Linked DNA regions of Stegostoma tigrinum. The protein of the gene in region 2 purifies or fractionates together with the protein of the main gene of each other region. This does not show direct contact. Links are inferred from orthologs where the notes say so. Each region holds a gene or a part of one and is shown on either strand. Other genes may lie near its edges.

Evidence for each region.
Region 1: the proteins of ccna2 (region 2) and cdk4 purify together in Homo sapiens (affinity purification with western blotting; 3 studies listed by BioGRID, with this or other methods). This does not show direct contact. The link is inferred for Stegostoma tigrinum from reciprocal best matches to the Homo sapiens genes CCNA2 and CDK4.
Region 3: the proteins of ccna2 (region 2) and rbl2 purify together in Homo sapiens (affinity purification with mass spectrometry; 3 studies listed by BioGRID and IntAct, counting the BioPlex papers as one, with this or other methods). This does not show direct contact. The link is inferred for Stegostoma tigrinum from reciprocal best matches to the Homo sapiens genes CCNA2 and RBL2.

The regions. Positions count from the first base shown.
Region 1 is NC_081404.1:17,944,870-17,948,621, forward strand, and holds the start of cdk4 (cyclin-dependent kinase 4), read right to left. Parts: upstream 2,783-3,752; 5' UTR 2,494-2,782; intron 1-2,493.
Region 2 is NC_081354.1:36,741,041-36,744,792, reverse strand, and holds the start of ccna2 (cyclin-A2), read right to left. Parts: upstream 2,777-3,752; 5' UTR 2,632-2,776; intron 2,478-2,631; 5' UTR 2,471-2,477; coding exon 2,267-2,470; intron 1-2,266. UniProt on the Homo sapiens protein: Cyclin which controls both the G1/S and the G2/M transition phases of the cell cycle. Functions through the formation of specific serine/threonine protein kinase holoenzyme complexes with the cyclin-dependent protein kinases CDK1 or CDK2.
Region 3 is NC_081369.1:24,613,287-24,617,038, forward strand, and holds the start of rbl2 (retinoblastoma-like protein 2), read right to left. Parts: upstream 2,841-3,752; 5' UTR 2,681-2,840; coding exon 2,540-2,680; intron 1-2,539. UniProt on the Homo sapiens protein: Key regulator of entry into cell division. Directly involved in heterochromatin formation by maintaining overall chromatin structure and, in particular, that of constitutive heterochromatin by stabilizing histone methylation.

The DNA.
Region 1 (3,752 bases), on a different chromosome or scaffold from region 2:
ACGCAAAACAAGCAAAACCCTTGGTTTGAACTAAACAAAGCCAAACATTTAGCTCAAAGTAAAACAAAGTGGAGGAACTCCGTAGATCTGGCAGCATCTGTGAAAAGAAAACCCAAATTAACATCAGAGCTGAATTTCTCCAGCAATTTTGCTTGTTTCAGATCGCCAAAACCCACACCATGTTTTTTAAACTATAGCAAAAACCTCATCTGATTGGTACTCATCTTTCCGTTAGGGCACTGGTAAAAAAGTGAGATAAACAGGGGCAAGAAGAAAACCTAAATTTTGAATTTACAAGTTGCAGATGATTAGCGTGGAAAGTTAACAATTCAGAGAACATAATCTCAAAAGGAAAACAGCAACACCTCAAATGCTGCGAAATACACTGTGAAAGCACTACCATCACCTGCATCCTAAACCAGACTGGACAACCTATTCCACTTATAAACTTACTTCACGAATACCAAGTCAACCAGTTTTCCAACCTAGGCCATCTACTCATATTGCACAAACAGAAGCAAGCATCAGCACAAGCATATTGTCCACAGAGAACCCCACACAGACATGCAATAACAAGAAGAATGTCAGGGCCCATGTTCAGCCAGGAAATGGTGGGTGGGATCAAGCAGTCTTCAGTGGCAATTCTGTCTTTAGAGACACACTTGGGAAAGTTGACAAATTTCTGAAGATCTGTAGATAAGTAAACAAATGCTCCAGCATCTGAAAAAGGCCTTCCTTAGCAGAAGGTAAACGCTACTATATCAATTTCACAGCTATTGCCTACTGTCATCTCCATCCCACCATGACAGGAAAAATTTTTAAAGATTCCTACGAACACATTGTCAACTCCTCGCTCTCCTTCCACCAACAAAAAAAGTCTCTTCACACTTTCAGATCCTTCACTTGAGATAGCAATGGTAGCAATTTTAAGAGCCACCTGAAGGCACTTATCCATCCCATCACCCCTATGTTCACATCCCATTACAACAACCAGTATTGTCACAGCATGGCTTTCAGAATGTGGTCAACAAGGCTCTCAATCACAAACTCATCACCTGTATCTCCCCACATTTGCCCTCAACTTCACAAATCACCATCAGCTTCTGGGAAAAGCTGCACCCTCCAACTCCCCAAACACATACAGAGACTTCAAGAGCAGAACAGCTGCTGGACCATTTCAATAAATAGCTTGACCTCCTTTTGGGCCACTAGATCATGGCATGCCCTCCATTCTCAAAATCACTCCTCCTGAGCAAACCGCCTCCCACATCCAAAACAAACCTGGGCTTCCCATCTTTAGTCTATCTTTTCCCAATCCTCTGACCCGATGCCATGACCACTTGAGAATCTGAAATTATACTGTACTATATTCAGAGAAGGGCACACATAGGGAGTTACCTGACCTGGAAGGAAGGTCGGAAAGCACATGTCGCAGCAGTCAAGTAAAACTGCCACTACAAAAAAAACCTGGTGGGACATGGGTGTCACTGTCTGGCGAGCATTTATTACACGTCTATACCTCAAGGCTGTGCTCCCCACTTTTAGTGATGGTTCTTGCCCCTTCGCATTTGCTCAAGAGCTTGGCTGGCTGAAATCTGACCCCCGCTCCCTGATTCGGTGCAGCCTTCAGGCTCATTTTGCAGTAGTGCTACAGAAACGTAAGTGAGCAAACGTTGGCCACTTTGTTTATAGAGGGGGGAAAATGAAAAGATTTGGTTTAAAATCTTAATAACCACAACCATCAAAAAAAAGCTGCAGTTTTTGTTGCAGATCCGAAGAGCGATTACAGTTTTTTTTAAAAAATCCAACCTGGAGCACATGTATTGCTGCCATCTTAGAGCCCAAGACAATCCTCGCCAGCAAAAACACCAAGCTGCTTTCAGGCACGGCTCCCTTACAGAAGTCTTAAATTAATTCTCAAGTCTATTGCTGATCGAAAGATTCCACATTTCAAAAGATAACGATACCACTTTGTGTCTCAAACTCTGAAAAGAGTGAATGGTATAATGGGGGGGGGGGGAAGAGAGGGGAAGAGAAAAAGACGGACACCTCACTGGTTTGGGTCAGAGTAAATCGAGACGAGAGATATTAGGCAGATTTTTTTTTAAAAAAAAATCAACGTTTAATTAAACCCTCGGTTTATTTGGCAGCAAGTTAGATAAACAGACGTTAGACCGTTCGCACGTGGCGGTATTAAGCAATTCTTTTGTCGTCCTTTTAGCTGCTGTAAGAGGGAGATGACCCCCCCCCAAAAAAATACAAACAGATACGCGACAGCAATTACATTGTGGAAACCACGTAATTCCCCATTTTAGTTTATTTTTTTAAAAAAAACAACAAACAAGAACAAATTTCCTCTCGCTTCTGCAGGCGCGGGCTTGCCAGGGAAGCCATTTAGAAATCACTCCCTCGCGATCACAAACTGGACCCGTTCGCCTTTTCACATCGTCTCACTTTGCAATCACATCACAAAAACTCCATCCAGATACTTACAACGTGCAGCAAACTTCCAGCGGGGTATTCCGAGATTTCCGATGGAATAATCATTCAATTAAAAATCATATTTTGTTTTCCCCTAGAGCCGCCTGGTGCTACAAACTGATTTTATAAATGCCTACAATCAATAAATAGCTAAAATGTGATGTTTTTGTAAAAAGAATTAACTAAAGCTTTAAAAACACTTAGTGAAATTAGCTTTAAAAAGTTTGTTACAGTCACATGAGGTCATTCCCAGAACATTGTCCTTCCGCCTGCCATGATTGACGACAAAAAAAAATCCACTCCTTTCTGCTTTTACTTATTGGTCGAATCCAATTCCTGGCAGGCCTCTTTTTTGCTGACTGGCTGGCCAGTTGCCGCTGTTTTTACATCTTTCTGAGCTGATAGGTGGAAACTAGTTATAACTGTTGTCATTCTCAGTTTCTGGAGAGTTTGTTTGAAGGCACAACCATTTTTATTTAAACCCTACTCGGGGGGAAAACCTTCAAAGACAAAAAAACTCATGTGGTGTACAATGACCTGCACTATTTGTTCTGGAATCTAAAATATACCTAAATGCTAATTTGCGTGCATTTCAGTCTTTCAGTCACAAAAAGGCAATGAAGTAATAAGTAATTTTACATAAAGGGTAAATAGAGATAATAATAAATAAAATAAACCGTTTCAGATAGTTCAATGGGATCCACCTGTGAGGGCAAATGGGGCTTTGATTTAATGTGTCATCTAACAAACCGTACCTTTGATAGTGTGATAAGTTTAGGGTTTGATGGTACAGCACTTCATGCGTGCCACCAACTTGAATTTTAAATCAACCATTCCAGACATGTTATGACACATCTCTTGGGCACTTGGGCCTTAAACCTGTTTCAGAGATAATAGGAACTGCAGATGCTGGAGAATCTGAGATAACAAAGTGTGTGGAGCTGGATGAACGCAGCAGGCCAAGCAGCATCAGAGGAGCAGGAAGGCTGACGTTTCGGGCCTAGATCCTTCTTCAGAAAAAAGGGCCTTAAACCTAGACCCTTTGGCCCAGAGATAGAGACACCACCACGAGAGCCCCTTCAACCTGGATTATACAATTGAAGTCACAATCTTTGACTCAATGCAAGCAGTGTAATTAAATAAGAACAATACAGCAATAAAAATCCTGATTTTCAAGTATGATCCTCTAACTTAGTGGCCATTGTGTCATAAATGGTCTTTTTCCAATGCCAAGCATTTTTCCATAAAACTGTGCTAATAAATTCCATTTG
Region 2 (3,752 bases):
TAGGGGTTAGGAATGCATTGCTGGAGAGGGTAGTGGAGTCGGCCACATTAGCGGCATTTAAGTGGCTCATAAATAGGCATATGAATGCTAGTGTAAAGGTAGGGGTGGAGATTAGAAAGACCTTAGGATTAGGGTAAAGTTCAGCACAACATCATGGGCCGAAGGGCCTGTACTGTTCAGTGTTCGAAGTACGCAAAGGATTTTTTTGGGGGGGTGTGAGGGGGGGGTGGGTGGATGGATGGAATATGCTTTCATATGAAAACCAAAAGATTTCAATGAGAGATGGGCACATAGGGTATCCATTGCAAGTCTACCTATGGGTATAGCAGTTGTTAATTTCCAAGGCTACACAGTTGCTCAGGTCATGATCAGAGCAGACAGTTTCAGAAAATGGCAGCATGTCTAGATGGCATGATAATGAAGAACAAGTTATCCCATTATTTTCCATGATAATGACTTGACCTGAGATGATGTGCCAACCAATCAGCATATTTTCTTTTTAATAATTACAGCATACATTATTGCTCCCTCTGAAATTTGATGTTCCTTGTGTAGGGCAAAGACACTTCAATAGCATGTCTCTTTTTCAAAGCTTGATTTTTAAAAATAAGAAATAACATTACATTATTTTAAGAGAAGCAATCACAAACCAGATCTTTTCTTGAACTCAACTTTGTCATGAAAAAGACTCTGTTCCAAATGCAGTAGCACATTCTTACTTTTTAAGATGGAATTGTGTCTTTTAAGTAGTATGTTTTTAAAAAGAAAAATTCAGTAGCTCTAGAATTGAAGAACGGACTCAGAAGCAGGAGGGGGAAATGTAATTTTCTACTTGAAAAACAAAAAGGAAGAGACTGAAAACCAAACGAGGGCAGATTCAGTTCAATTGTGATATTCACTTCACCAAAATACTTCCAACACCTCTAGGTTTATTTGGGTGGAAGTGCCAAATGATTCTATCCACAAAAATTGTGGCAGATGTTCAGCTTCTGGGTGAAGCACAGAATCACCTACGACTAATGATCCAAGACTGCAGAAACATGCAAATTTAACTCAGGTGCAGATGTGGAGAAAACAAGAGTATCTCAGCTCAGTTATTTGATTATTTCCCTATTGGCATACAACACCTTGGTAGACATAAAGTGTTCAACTCCCAAGGATTCCAGTCAGGTCAAAGGCTTATATAACTCTACAGAAAGTCTGTTTATTGGTAACCAAGATCAGTCAACTATTCCTTTTGACTGAATTATTGTCACGAGTACTGAAGTGCAGTGAAAAGCTTTGTTTGCAATCGGTACAAGAAAATCACAGTAAAGTAAGGATGTACAGATCAGAGGTTGTACAAAGATGCAGGTTACATTACAAAGGGCACGCGCTAGGCGAAATCAACGTTAGCAAGATGAGCATTATTTGAGGCTAGAGTGTGTCCATTTCAGTCTACTAACTGCCGGGAAGAAGCTGTTTATGATCCTGAACTTTGAACAAGCACCATAAATTCATGAAGTATGTCCCATTTGAAAAAAGTTGTTATAGTGACGTTAATTAAAAAGTAACCTATCTATTTAAAATACTACTCAAGCCGTATGGAATCATACAGTTCTCGATTTTCCAATAAACTGCCTATTTTATCGTTAGCATGCTCATTGCAGTGGCATCACTGACGATTTAGAGTATAGTTGCGATTCACAAATTCACTCTTTCCGGAGTCCCGGAATCGGGGGAAACCAGGCTAAAATCCAGTAGATGATTTCCTCAATATTTGCTAGGCCGGCGGAGAAGAGAAGAACTCAATGATTTCAATTTAAACCTACACGCGTAAAATGTGAAGTTCTTCCGCAATCCAATTATGAGAAACTATTAGGACACCCTAGCAACAAGGTCGTTTTGGCTTGCGGGCTGATATAGAGTTAAAGAGTGTGGAGCACTTTTAATGCTTACGTGTAAGCGTTCAATAAAGTGCTGCATCACACAAGTAACTATTGCTATCAATATGCGAGTACCACTATTTTTCGAACGTCAACCAGCGTAAAAGCTTTAAATTGCAACGTGGAGGACAATCCAGATATTTGTGAGCCGTTGCAAAACGGAAACTGAATGGTGTTGGAGCAATTTGAATTTAACGCTAATCCTCATCGCCGAGAAACCGTCGGATGATATATATTAACCAGTCGTGGCATTCGCGTACTCAGAGTCCGTACTGGAGACCACCGCCGACAGATTGTACCTGCACCGATCATCCAGTGACAGAACCTGCCTCTTTACTTACGGGTTTGCGATGGGGCTGTAAAGCTTGATTACTCTGCAACACTCCGAGCACCTTCCTGCCACCGACAGGGGTAGGAACGGCGACTCTGCCCGCATTTCGCTCCCGGCCTCCCGGTTCCTGACCCTGCCAGCTGACGGCTTTCACCGCCTGGGGTAGCACGTTTTCCCAGTCCCTGGAGACAGCGTCGCGAGAAGCCCGATACATTCTCGAACTCCGGGATTTTTAAAAAAAAATTAAAAATCTTACTTTAAAAAAACTGTACACGTTTCCTTTGAAACAAAAAACACGGGCAAAATACACCGTCGAGTTAAAATCGGAATGAGACCGGGCTGGCGGCTCGGAGCTGTGTCCAGGCTCCCCGTTACCTGTGAAAGGGAGCGACCCCAGCTCGAGCGCCACCGGCCGGGTCCCGCTCTATAATCGGTCCTCCACCTAACGCCAGACTGCGTGGATTGATAGACAATTGTCCTCCCCTCCCCCCAACCCCCGTGCGGCCTGGGACAGTTTGTTCAATTGCTCTTTTCAGGTTCCTCCTCCCCCTGATCAGCTCAGACGTCACCACCGGCAACTGATAAAACCCCATTCAGTTCAAGTGTCCCGCGTCTATTGAAACCAGCCAATGGGTGCTTGATGTGCGGACGCACGTCGGTTCCGTTTCAGATTTGAATTTTTTTCCCCTGCCTCTTATTATTCGCGCGGTCGCGGTTGTCAATCAAAGGAAGAAGAAAATGGGCGGAAGCTGCAAGATGGGAAAGAATTGCTTGGGGTGCAAACAGCGAGTGAGTGCCTTCAGGGAAGTAGAAAAAAATGCAACATGTTAACATTAGTGCAAACATACCATTAGCAAAACGGAAACAGTTTACATTTTGTTAGCCTTTGTGCTCCAAAGATGCTGCATGGCCTACTGTGTTCATCCAGCTACACACTTTGTTATCTCGGATTCTCCAACATCTGCAGTTCCCATTATCTCTGATACAGTTTACATTTACATGTGTTGCACTGTCACTTGCACCCCCATCCATTTATTTTTCTATTGTCTTCAAAATGTTGATTCACAGTGTAGTAGAGTTAGAAAAATGGCTTTTTGTGCAGTTTAGTGCATATCATTCTTCACTTTTGAGCCTGTAAAGAAATTGGAGCTCTGCCATTTAATAATACCATGGTTGATCTGTTTGTGCTTCAAATCTACACTTTCATCTGTCCCCAGTAACCTTTGATTTTCTCTACTTAACAAAAATCTATCTCTATTAAAAATATTCAATGACCCCCATTTCCACTGCCTTCTGAGGCAAGGTTCCAACCTGCTGGAACAAAAGTCACCTTATCTGTTCCAAAAAAGATGATTTCTAATTTTAAAACTTTTTTATTATCCTGAGGAGTAGCATTTTTGCACTACCACAGATCATGTTAAGTGTTTACAGCCAGGGTTGAGACTACTCAACAATCACCAGGCATAAAACATTAAAACATATTATTGTAAGTAGTT
Region 3 (3,752 bases), on a different chromosome or scaffold from region 2:
TTGTAAATTATGTTGGAATATTTCAGACATTTGTAAATATAGCAAGGGCCTAGATTTCAAGTTATGGGAATAAGGGAAGTGAAAAATATTTTAATGGGAGCAAAATAAAATATTTTCAATCTTTTGCTGATTGCTGTCAGAAAACATGTGTTCAAGCTCAAGCATGTGTTAATTTCAGATAGACAGGCTGACAGAGGAGAAATGGCTGTCAGATGAATCCATGAATAGTGTCAGTGTCAATCACTAAGGAGCAACTTGTCAATACGGGAAAAGGTAGGCAAGAATATAGCCAAAAAATGTTCTGCAGAGATAACGGTTGAGGTGGTAGAAAATCCAGTGCTGTGGCTGACACTGAACAGGTGGTCTTGTGAACATAGGCTACAAAGAAATACGTGTGAGAGAGGTGATGAATTGGGCCGATTGTGTCAAACACAATGGATACATCATGGTGTGCAACATTTATGTTTGCATACCTTAATTAGAAAGGTTGGCATTGTTGACACATCAGAAATCAGGCAGAAAAGAGAGGAAGTGAATTGTCGGAGTGTTGAGCACGATGCTGGGAAATAACAATAATGAGGGATCTTTGACAGGAACGGAGGCACCAATTGTTGGGAATCCCTAATTTTAAAAAAATCTTACGTAGCTGTGTTTTCCATCTACTTTAACGAGGGCCTCATAAATCAGCAAGTTTGGTGTTAGACTCTGGAGATGTTGATTACAAGGATCTCTAGTATACAAACATACAAATCAAGGAACTCGTAGTTCCCTAGGCCATCCAGCCCTTTAAGCCTACTCCACCATTCAATAAGATCATGGCTGACCTCATTTTGACTTCAACTGTTTTTCTGCAAACCCCCAATAATCTTCCAACCCCTTGGAAATTAAGAATCTACCTACCTTAAAAATATTTCAAGGTTCTGCATCAACTGACTTTTGAGGAAGAGAATTCCAAAGTCTCTCAGACCTCAGAGAAAAATGTTTTTCACATCTGTCTTAAATGGTCAACATTTTATTCTTAAACTATGATCACTAATTCTAGATTCTCCCACAAGAGGAAACATCCTTTCCACATCCACCTGGTCAAGTCCCCTCAGGATCTTATATGTTTCAATTAAGTCACCTCTGACCTTTCTAAACTCCAGAGGATGCAAGTTTAGCTTGTCTCAGCCTTCCTCAAAAGACAATTCATTCATTCCAGGTGTGGGTCAAGTCAAACCTTCTCTGAACTGCTTCCAACACGTTGAAATCCGTCTACAAGCACGGTGACCAGTACTGTACACAGTACTCCAAATGTGGTCTCACCAATGCCCTGTATAACTGAAGTACAACCTCTCCATTCTTGCATCCAACTGATCTTTGCAACAAAACATAACTTTTCAACATTTAAAGCACATAAAGGTTACAAAAATATGTTGAGAGAAACACAGAGTCTTTAATGTCAATGTTGTATGAATAATTACAACAGACAATCTAAGAGATAAATCGAAAACATTGTCAAAGGCAAGAATGCAATCACTGACAATCAGAATCATAATCGGAAGGCTGCTGATTGACCTTCCAATACCATGGTTTCAGCATATGACAGAGTGATAGATTCGGACAAGACTGATTTGGATTTGTACATCATTTGACCATTGGGTGAGGCAGAGGTCCTGTCTGAATTTCTACCTAGGCTGCAAAAACAAAAATGTAATTACTGTTTGTGAAACCTGACGTCGCAACAAACAAGTGAACACATTTCAACAGAAACTGATTGGCTGTTAAGTGATTTGAATATCCCAAAAACATGGAGGGCACGATTTTTAAAAAAGTTATTTATTTCAAACTACAGTAAGAGTAAGACACGGGGTCATAGTTAATCTGACAGGATGCTAGGTATCGCAAAATAATTTGTTCGCGGTTAACACTCAGGGCACTCCTAATTGGGGTACTTGGTGCGTAAACAGTGGCATTGATGGAGAAACTGTTGAATGTTTTGGTTGCCTGATTGGCCTTTCTTATCTCCGCATATGTCAAATTCACAGCATACATTGGCGAGACGCTCTTCCGGTGCTTCCTCTTGCAACTGAAGGCTCAGTTGTTTACGTGGACGGTTTGAAACTTTGCTTTTGGCAAGGTGGGCCGGGCAAGGCACTGCTGAACGAGAATGTGCAGGTTTCTCGAACTGGAGCGAGGACCTTAAACTACTTTAAATGGCAGCGCCGAAGGGCAGGCCTGCCCCTGTTCTGCAAGGTTTAGCATCAGCAACAAACCCGCTCAGCCCGTCGTGAAAATTAAAAACAAAACAGGCAAAACATTAACTTTCAAACGAATTGATTGCAATAGCCTGATGTATGTATTCCTTGTACGCTGAATTCCAATGTTTCAAACTAATGTACACGCAATGAATTACCTCTGACCCTTCCCCTCCCCCTCAGCTGTCAGTGGGTACTTATTTACTCGCGGATGTCACCTCGGGTACACGCCCCCTTATAGTCAGGCAGCTTCCACTGTGTCTCTCTCTCTCACCCTCTGCCCCACACCCTGTCATACTCACCTCCAGGGTGTATGTCCTGCTGATGCTCTCGAAACTTGCCCAAGCCTCACATTTTGCACCCTCGTCCATGTTCAATTTCTGACAAAGTTCCTCAAACCTCTGCCAGGTCCGGCAGCCGCCCTGCTCGTCCTCGCTGGCCATGGTGGCTGGTGAGCAGGAATGGCCGGTCGGGTTGTGGGTTAGTGGAAGTGCTGCTGCAGGAGTAGCAGTTGCAGAAATACCGCTGTCGCTGTCCCCGGGAGGGCTCAGGCAGCGCTCGCGGGCCGCACTGTAGCCATTTAAAAGCCGCTTGATTGACAGCCCAACGTCCCGCCCTTGCCACCGTCTGATTGGTCTGCCCAGCTGCCCGTCGGAACGTTCGATTGTTGCCTCCTGATCGTTAAGTGGCCGCGCGGCCACGTCAATCACAGCGCTTCCTGGGTTAGGCCCTGCCTACTCCTTGCCCAGTACCTGGCAAAGCACAGTGCAGGCTTTGGCGGGGGGGGGCTGCTCTTACAGGGTACCAGCTGCCAGCCTAGTACTGGGAAAGAAATCGCAAGGGAGGGGAACATGACCTCCACATCGCAGAGAGCATGCAGAGGAGATTTAATAGAAAGATTTGGAGGGAATCAATAAACACCCATTCTGCTCAACCCCTCCTAAGAAACTTCCTTCATACCCAATATTAAACTAATAAACCTTCCCTGGACTGTCACCAATGCCAGATATCTTTTGTTAGACAAGAGAACCAAACCTGTTCACAGTATTTCAGGTTTAGATTGACAGGTGCCTTGTAAAAATTGTAGCAACCATTTTACACTCCATTCCCTTTGGAATAAAGGCTTGAATTCCATTTGCCTTCCCTATACTCATTGAACTTGGATGCTAACTTTCTGTGATACATACATCAACACTCCTGAATCCCTCTGTGCTGCAACTTTCTGCAATCTTTTCCCATTAAATAACATTTGCATTTCTATTCTTCCTGTCAATGTAAAACCTCTCAAAATTTCCCACATTATATTGTATTTACCAATTCTTTTGCCCGCTTGGTTAACCGGTTTATATCCTCTTGCAGACTGTTTGTGTCATCCTCATCATTTGTGTTCCCTTCTCTTGTGTCATCTGCAAACGTGGTGATATTACGTTCACTTTCTTCATCCAAGTTATTAAAGGTTTGTAAATAATTATGGCCCTAACACAGATCCTTGCATTTTTCCAATAGTTACACATT